2 linked regions of the Xenopus tropicalis genome follow. The protein of the gene in region 2 interacts with the protein of the main gene of each other region in a biochemical or structural test. Links are inferred from orthologs where the notes say so. Each region holds a gene or a part of one and is shown on either strand. Other genes may lie near its edges.

Region 1 (5,003 bases), on a different chromosome or scaffold from region 2:
ATGTTATATACACACACATAACGCAAGCATATACACAGACACACAGTTATAGAACATTAGAAGCATTATGCACGAATGCGGGTCTGTCTATATCTAACCATCATCAATCAATCCGTAGCCATAGTCTATAGTACGCAATACAGCACGAATAAACATTCCCAGCGCTGTGCTATTACCCAGTCCTATCACTCAATGGAATCAGTTCAAATATACCCCACTTTATCTAGATATTTAAGATTTTAGTCTTTTAATTACTTGTCTAAATCTTTCAGGTATGTATGGTGACTTCTATCTGTCCAACAGTAAACTATTTATTTAAGGTGTATAACCAATTATCTAAATATTCTATGATATATATGATTAGATATAAACGGATATGAGTAAAAACAGATTTAAAACTTCCTCGTCCGAATTTAAATAGATAAACTACCTAGTCGATTGTCTATTTATCTAATTATTTACCTGTCTATCAGTATTTAATATGTCTTACTGTGCATTGACCCAATTATCAAAATACTGTAGAATAGATTATTAGATATAAACAGAAATAAAACTACATGGTCGAATTGTCTATTAATCTATGTATTCTTATCTAGTCGAATTAACTATCTAAATGTAATAATTAAAATATATGTATCTATATCTTTGTAAAGCATTCTGTTACCTGTCTACATATCAATTTATCTATATTTGTGTAAAGTTTACAGTCATCTATATATCGATATAATGATTCTATCTATCTATCATCTATCTATCTATCTATCTATCTATCTATCTATCTATCTATCATCTATCTATCTATCTATCTATCTATCTATCTATCTATCTATCTATCTATCTATCATCTATCATCAATCATCTGTCTGTCCATCCATCCATCCATCGACAGTGTATCTGTTATTTACCTGTATTAATGTAATGTTTCTATCTATCGATCTATCTTTCTGTCTAACATCTACTTTTGTCATTTTTCGGACTCAGAGAATGTGCAGAGCTTTTGCCTGCAGAAAAAATACCCTTCTTTTTAAGAAATTTTCTGACAGGCCAAATGGAGGCACTCGTATGCTTTTTTAAATAGTTTTGTTCGTGTATAAACTCCTATAACTGTATGTGGTTAGTGTGAAGGGCTTGGGTCCCCTAATTAAAGCGAACTAAAGAGTCCTGTCTATTCAGGGGCATATGAAGGGACAGTCCTTTGCTGAGGAATAGGTCACACTCCTGGCCTGCGGGACTTCAGGGTTCTCAGCCTAATGTGGATTCTAAAATAAAGTAACAATGCCATATATGTACCATGTGTATTCACTGTAGCCCCCCTTTCTTTTGCTTTCCCTACCAAACTACACGTAACAAATAGACTAGCACAAGGATACAGAACATATACTAGCTACATGGGTGGATACATAGACTGATATATGTCAGACGGATAGACAGACTAATAGATGATTGGTAGATGGAGAGATAAACTGATAAAGACAGATGGACTGACTCATAACAAAAGATAGGGCGATAGGTGGATAGATATCTAGATTTATTTTTATATTTTTAGACAAACTTGACACAACTACAGATCATTTTAGGTTTCCTTCTGAGTGTACTACAAATTAGGATTTATTTAGGCAAGTTGGAACTAAGCAGACGGGTGTATTATTTCATGCTTAACTGCTATGTAACTATATGTAAGACAGTTTTACAAATAATGGTAAAACAGACACTCAGATGGGCGGTTTGATTAGACAGCGACATAATGGAACACGAAAGACCTTAGATTTATATTGACAGCTTCATGAAGTTCTGGGTTTTAAATGATAGAATCGCAGGCAACAAATACATTTGTTAAAAGAAGAATCTAAATCCAAGGGAGCCCCATGAAGGGGGGGATTTCTAAACAAGGGACAAAAATACATTCCGGGGGAGGGGGAAATATGTAAGTGTGACATTTGCTGCTGATATATTTGCAGGCCCAAATCAAATCACATGCTGTGAGAAAGTCCCCTATAGCGCCAGTCAGTGGGAAAGGGATGGTACACCCTGTGCTGAAGTAGAGCATGTGCTGAACTAAAAAAATTGTTGTTCCCCTGCTGCCCTGGGTTTGTTTATTCTGGTGTCACAGGGAACGTGTACTCAGAGCTTCTACCTAATTTGGCGGTGTATCCATTAGGGGGAGAGGGTCACCATCTCACCAAGTATGAACCACAGTTTGTCTCTTAGCTCAGCTTTCCTAATACTGGCATGGGGGGGGGGGGGGGTTGTAACCCTATCGCTGCCAGGCTGACTGGCAATGTGTTTCATGCAAACCCACGTGGGATTCCCAAACAGGGCACACACCAGGAGTAGGAATGGAGCCAGGGGTAGGTGGTCTTTTTCTCCCACAAATGTGTGTGTGTGTGGCGGTGGTGGAGGGGGGTTAGTACTGGGATCAGAAGTCCAGAAAAGCTTTAGCTGCCCAGGGATCATGGGCTACACGGCTGAGGGCTTGGGCCTGGGGGCTTCCTTTCTGAGTGCTAACGTTTCGGCTCCAGGCTGCTGTCTCCTGCTAGAGTGCCATCTCCCTGTGCCCCTTACCTCTCTTTTGCTTCCGCCGCTCTGTCCCTTTGCCTCCTGTTCTTGAACCAATTGCTGACCTGGGTGGTGGTTAGTCCAGTGGCCTCAGCCAGCTCCCGCTTCTCCCTGGGAGACGGGTAAGGGTTATGGGCATACCATTCTCTCAGCACCCCTCGGGACTTCTCCTTAAAGCAGTAACTGGTCTCTTCTCCATCCCAGATTGTCCTGGGCAGGGGGAATTTCCTTCTGACCCTGTACTTGCCCACTGCCCCCAGCGGTCTCCCCCTCAGTTTCTCTGCTTCCACATAGTGAGCCTTGAGCCAGAGTTGCTGCAGTTTGGGGTGGTTGTGCGGGGAGAACTGATGGCTCTCCAGTATCTTATACAGTTCTCTGAAGTTGCCCCTGTGAAATGCCACCACGGCCTTTGCCTTCAGCACACTCTCATTCTTGTGGAGGTGATCACAGGCTGGCAAGGACCATAGGAACCTGCCCAGTCTCTCCAGGTTGCCTCCCTGCTGCAGCACCTCGCACACACAGGCCACTTGCTCCTGAGTGAAGCCAAAGGAAGGCAGCATAGACATGGCTCAGTGTGGCACAGCCAGGGGCCCACAGCGCACACGTAAAGGCATACACGGGGAGCACACGCTATATCCACGGCTCTGAGCGCAGGGAAAGTACTGGCTTGTCTGGGGGATGCTGCAGCCCGGAGCTGGAACAACTTTGTTTCTCTCCAGTTAGCTGCCTCCTTAAAGCTCCCATTGGCTGCGCGCACTGATTGGCTGCGCCTGCGGGGGCTGGATATGCACAGAGAGCTGCACAGGCTGGAGGGTGGGGAGGGCACAGGGGTGATGCTGCTGCCCTCAGGGGGGAGACACGTCAGGGCCCTGCAACATGAGCCCCGTCTCAAGTATCACCTAAGGGGAGCAGGGCTCATCTCTGCACAAATCAATTATTCCAGCAGGGCCTTTGTGTGTGTGTGAGAGAGAGAAAAATCAAAAAATGCCATTGTCCATTTCAGGTGAGCTGCTATTTAATTACCTTAATGTTGGGGATGAATAAATCATAGCTTAATGAATGGCTCCTGCTCAGGGATGAATAATTAACTCCAAGATGGAGCTTTAACATAGGGCTGCAGTATGGTTCCCAAGTCGTAATCCTTCTAGTATCTCAATCTTACTCCTTAGGCTGGGGCAACACAAACCTCCTCTGGATTTGTGAGGGTAACACACAAATATATGCGTTATATTATGTGTGTCTATCATCTATCTATCTATCTATCTATCTATCTATCTATCTATATATCTATATCTATATATATATATATTAGAACTACTTACAATCCAACATCTAAATATTATTTTTTGTTTTGTTAAGCCGTATAATTTGCCCTCTTTTGCAGGAATCCAGAGGAAATAATGGCCCGTGGGTGTGGGGAAATACTTGGCTAATTGAAGAGAGAATGGCAAGGCTGAAAGAAAACACTCTGAGGCATGATATTTCGTTTATTTGAAGAGGGTATTTAGTAAAATTGCCCAGAGAAGTCCCACTCTAATTAAGTTGATCCTCATTTGCACACCTTGTTTGAAAGCAATTATTAAAAAGATTTCCCAAACAATTAGGCTTTGTAAACACAGATAATGTATTGTTGGTAGCACTGGAGGCTCAGAGATAAGAACAATAGGTTCAGATAAGGGAACAGAGAGGTGGGAAAGCAATCCTCAGGCACTGACTGACTAGTCATTTCATACACTTTGGCTATCAGGTAAGAATGATCACATGACCTAATAAAGGATATTCGCATTAATTAGACACAGTTGGCCAGACGTGTGCCCACAGCCAATGGGACAGAGAACAATATTGCTCCCTATCAAATTCCCCTTTCCCCTGTTATAAGTAGGTGTAGTGGAAGGGATCTCAGTTGTACCAACCACTGCCACAAACACATATAAAATGCTCTCTGGCTGGTACATAATTGAACCTGGATCACTTAGTCCTAAATGAACATGGTATTGTATTACATAGGCCCAAATTAACATACACATATTGTATATTTTTTATGTGAATATTTACACAAGCATGAAAGCACTGCACACTTAAATGGAATACAGATAATAAGCAATATGGTAGAACTGGATACATATAAAACATGGGTGGGTGAGTGTTTGTTTATGTGCTAATAAGCAGGGCCCCTACAGACATCACACTGAATTAAGTAGGAAGTAGGAAGACCTTCTTTAAAATCCCTAACCAGACTGCTGTGGGTAAAGTAACTAAGTCTTCCTTAATTTATTTTCATGTGCGTCTTTGTATTTATTGGCCTGCCTGTTTCCATCTTGTGACTGGTAGACATATTATTCGCCTTATATTCAGACTTTCAAGCTGCTGTCTGGTTGCTAGGGCCGTTGCTATAGCCACCAGATAGCAGCTGAAATTCTAAATCTGAGATTTGCAGAAAACAATGT
Region 2 (4,417 bases):
AAATTCGAAAATCGCAAATTTTTTGAGTTGAAAGTATTGTTAAAACGCGAAACATTTGAGTTTAAACGGACTTTCGTTGCCACGAATCGTCTTTATTTAAACAGGAATTGCTCCAGCAGCCATTTTAGGAGCATTGGTGCTCATTCTTGGAAAACAATAATGTGTTTAAGTTTCATTTGAAACTGGGTGAAAAAGAAAACAATGATGGGATTAGCTTCCCCTTGAAACCGTGTGAAATAGAAAACAATTAGGGCATTAACTTCCCCTTGAAAATGTGTGAAATAGAAACCAATGAGGGCATTAACTTCCCCTTGAAAATGTGTGAAATAGAAACCAATGAGGGCATTAATTTCCCCTTGAAAATGTGTGAAATAGAAACCAATGAGGGCATTAACTTCCCATTGAAAATGTGTGAAATAGAAACCAATGAGGGCATTAACTTCCCCTTGAAAATGTGTGAAATAGAAACCAATGAGGGCATTAACTTCCCATTGAAAATGTGTGAAATAGAAACCAATGAGGGCATTAACTTCCCCTTGAAAATGTGTGAAATAGAAACCAATGAGGGCATTAACTTCCCCTTGAAAATGTGTGAAATAGAAACCAATGAGGGCATTAACTTCCCCTTGAAAATGTGTGAAATAGAAACCAATGAGGGCATTAATTTCCCCTTGAAGCTGGGTGAAATAGAAAACAATGAGGGGATTCACTTCTCGTTGAAAGTTCAAGGACAGGCTGTCACTGACTATTCTATTCCTCTACTATTCTGTCTGGTACTCAACAGATCAAACCTGCCAAATTCTTTTTTTATTTTAGAAAAACTCGAAATTTTTGGCATAACAATAACAAAAAAAATCAAGTTCTGCCGAAATCGCATTTGTAAATCTCGAAATTATCTAGAAGTAAGAAAAAATCCGACTTTATCTCAGAATTGCTTAGTACTAGACTATATTTGGGTCCATGATAAAAAGGCTAAGGAACCCTAGACTAATGATTATCCTCTGCCGACTGGTGCAGCTGCGTCAGAAGTTTTCAGATGGTGTTACATAATTTATTGATATTACTGTCCTCCAAAACACATCATGTTCTGGAATATCATACAATATCCTTTTTCTTAAACAAACTTGCATTTTTCTTCCAAGTATGTGGTCCTGATTTCCAACTGTGCTTTGGTAAATGAAAGATACTGAATTTTGTGAAAGCCAAAGAAAATCATAGAATGTGTTGACATCCGAGCGATGCATTGTGGGATATCCCAGTCATGTCTACCCAAGGATATGTGCCAACATTTTCTATGACCCATGGTAGCAAACATCTCAAGCATCATAAGAGATTTTTTAGCCATTTAGAAACACATTATCACCAGGCAGAAGACAATAGATTATCCATGCCCATTGTCCTGGGTGATGTGCTGCAGAGATTCCCATAAACAGAGAGTCAGTTTAACATTTCGAATACTCAATTTTTTACGCTCGGAAGCTACATGTGGTAGCAAATTGCTTCTAGAACCATATCCCCGTCTAGCTCCTTCCTGGCAAAAATTGTCTTTCTCACTGGCCCCTGGCACGCAGTCGTTTATTCAGCTGTTCATTCCCTAGTTAATCCAGAATCTTAAAATAAAAACAAACAAGGTCTTTAGGGAGCGGACGCAGGGAGACTATATACTGAAACCCTGTCCACACTTGAAATAGAGGAATAAGGATTCTAATCGGTGGTCCAAAATCGTCTTGCATTGGTGGAGGAGAGGTTGACCCATATCTAATATTGAAATCTGCTGAAATAATAGAACTCAAGCCGCAATATCTTCAAACAGCCCAAAGCCGGACATCTAGGTTTTAAAGTATTATAAAAATCTGTTTTTATTTAAGATAAATGGGGTGGGATTTAAAGCAGCCTGATGTTCCTTGTAACAAGGTTTATTGACTCTTTGCTTAGGTCCATCGGGTATTTATCAAGGAGCCAACGGTTTGACCAACGCAGGAGCCTTTGGAAGTGTGCACCAGGTAAGATTCAATTGGGAAACCTTGTCTTTTTGCATCATGTTTTGCGCAGGAGTATATATCTGTATTGGAACGATCAGACTACTCTGAGAGATCCACTTAGGTGGTACTTAGTTGGAAGTTATCTGACAGTTATCGGATTCAGAAGTCATTTTAGGTCTGGAGTTTATTACTTCAGCCAGGGTCATCTTTCACTGGGGCAGGGCCAGGACAAACACCATTGTGGGTAACCATTATTTGTATAGAATTGTCTTATCCATGGTCCTTTGGCTTTTGCCAAGCACTGAGGGTTGTGTGCCCTATTCTAACCATCTCATAATACTGCCACTGCCTTGCCCTACTGTCTCCATCTTGCCCAACTCTACAGTTGCCATCTTGTTCTTCTGTTTCTATCCTGTCCTACTGTCAATAGTTTGACCATCATGCCATCTAATGCTTTACCCTACTGGCACTAATTTTAACCCATCATATACTATTGTCATTATTTTGCTATCTTGCTCTATTCTTACCTTGCCCTACCGTATGTGCGTCACCCTCACACTTTCTACCTACAACTACTAGTTAGCTAAGTCCTCTGTATGTAGGGCCAAGGGCATTTGCCACTATTTGTTCCATATTAAAGAGCTCAGTCCAAGCCCGACATTTATCCTTTATTATGTATCTAATACTAAGGTTCACATTTATTTTTTTAAGGAATATTCATCATATCCAGGCTTCAGTCAAGGCCAGTACCCACAGTATTACAGCTCTTCGTACAACTCTCCATATGTACCCACAAACAGCATCAGCCCCACAGCCCTGTCTACAGCCGCATACTCAATCCATGAATCCTCTCACCATGTCTCCAATCAGAGCACAGAATCACTATCAGGTAGGTCATGCAAGTATTGATTGGTTGAAGGGACCCTGTCCTTTAGTGGGTTTGGCCACTGGGTCAAACAGACAAAAGTGCCTATGAAGGCAAAGTCACTGTATAAGCATCTTCAAACCTTCATCAGCATCTTAAAACCTTAATGTTTTTGTGTTTGCAGAGGAGGAATTAAATTGCACTACCCATTATGTTTCAGGGGAGTACAACACTCATAATGGTCCCTCCACCCCAATTAAAGATTCAGAAAATGATCGACAACAGCGAGGATCTGACGCCAAATTACGCGGAAGGTCTAAAAGAAGTAATGACCCATCTCCTGCAGTGGATAATGAAATAGAGGTATGTCATTTCAACAAACATGTATACGTGTGTGTGTGTATAGATAGTATAGAAATAAACATATACACATATACAACTACTCCACCACAAGGGTGTTCTAGGGTGCATTGGTACTTATTGCTATGCATGGATATGCCTTACACCATCCTCGCCACCAAACATGGCATTTGGACATGAAAGAAAACAGAATTATAAGTGAGGGGTAGGTTTTTTGTCTTAAATGGAACATTCCAAATATCTTCTCGAGGGCAGCGTTGCCAGTCATAATAAATGCAGACTGGTAATAGTCTATTGTGCCAAACTTTCCCAGATGTTGCGGATTACAGCGTGAACTCTGCTCTTGCTAAAAAAGTACCAAACAATTAATGAGCTGTGATTTACTGACTTTGGAATTAAATGATTTGGAACACGATTGTGTCAGGTCAGGGGGAACAGGCAGAAACACATGTTCCTCTATATCAATGGGACAACTCTAGCAATGTTGTGTTGAAAAAAAAGATGGTCATCATTAACAATGACATGGGGCTTGTGTCCAAAAATATCACAATACCGTCTTATATTGATGTTATTGTTGCTTTTTTTCTGTTTGCACTTTTTCCTGGTGATTGTTTGCATTGAGTCAGCTGACTCCCTGCCAAGAACTAGCACAATGTTTGTGAGAGACTGTCCAGAAACAGTTTATTTCAAGGAGCAATGTTAAATTGCTGATGGGCTCGGTTTTGTGTGGTCTTGTTGCTCAAAGAGCAGTAACTGTACTGCCCACACCTGTACCACTGCGATATGAATCTGCCACGGTCACTGTGACCGCTTTTTATCTCTCCTCCAATCTACTCTCTAACAGAGAGTGTAGTCACAAGTTCCCAGATAGACTTTGGGCTTTTTATTTCTGAATTACACTGTTTACATAAGAAATAATTCACTTTACAATTTAAAGTTTTATTTTTGAACCAACAAATGTATTTTTTTAGCTGTAATATTGGTGTGTAGGCGCCATCTCAGTGCATTGTGTCTGAGTCTGAGCAAGCGCTACACATTAGAACTGCTTTCAGGTAACCTATTGTGTATCCTACTCCTATGTAACTGGAGGAGTCCCAAGCCAGACTTGGATTTCTTACTATTGAGTGCTGTTCTAATACCTGGGATACCTGGGAGCTGATATCTTGCTCCCTTCCCATTGTTCTGTTGAGCGGCTGCTGGGAGGGGGGGA

The links.
Region 1: the proteins of eya2 (region 2) and six1 form a complex in vitro, tested with the Homo sapiens proteins (2 studies listed by IntAct, with this or other methods). The link is inferred for Xenopus tropicalis from reciprocal best matches to the Homo sapiens genes EYA2 and SIX1.

Annotation. Positions count from the first base shown.
Region 1 is NC_030684.2:102,413,889-102,418,891, reverse strand, and holds the start of six1 (homeobox protein SIX1), read right to left. Parts: upstream 3,224-5,003; 5' UTR 3,123-3,223; coding exon 2,563-3,122; intron 1-2,562. UniProt on the Homo sapiens protein: Transcription factor that is involved in the regulation of cell proliferation, apoptosis and embryonic development. Plays an important role in the development of several organs, including kidney, muscle and inner ear.
Region 2 is NC_030686.2:37,333,151-37,337,567, reverse strand, and holds part of eya2 (eyes absent homolog 2), read left to right. Parts: intron 1-1,935; coding exon 1,936-2,003; intron 2,004-2,693; coding exon 2,694-2,871; intron 2,872-3,031; coding exon 3,032-3,210; intron 3,211-4,417. UniProt on the Homo sapiens protein: Functions both as protein phosphatase and as transcriptional coactivator for SIX1, and probably also for SIX2, SIX4 and SIX5.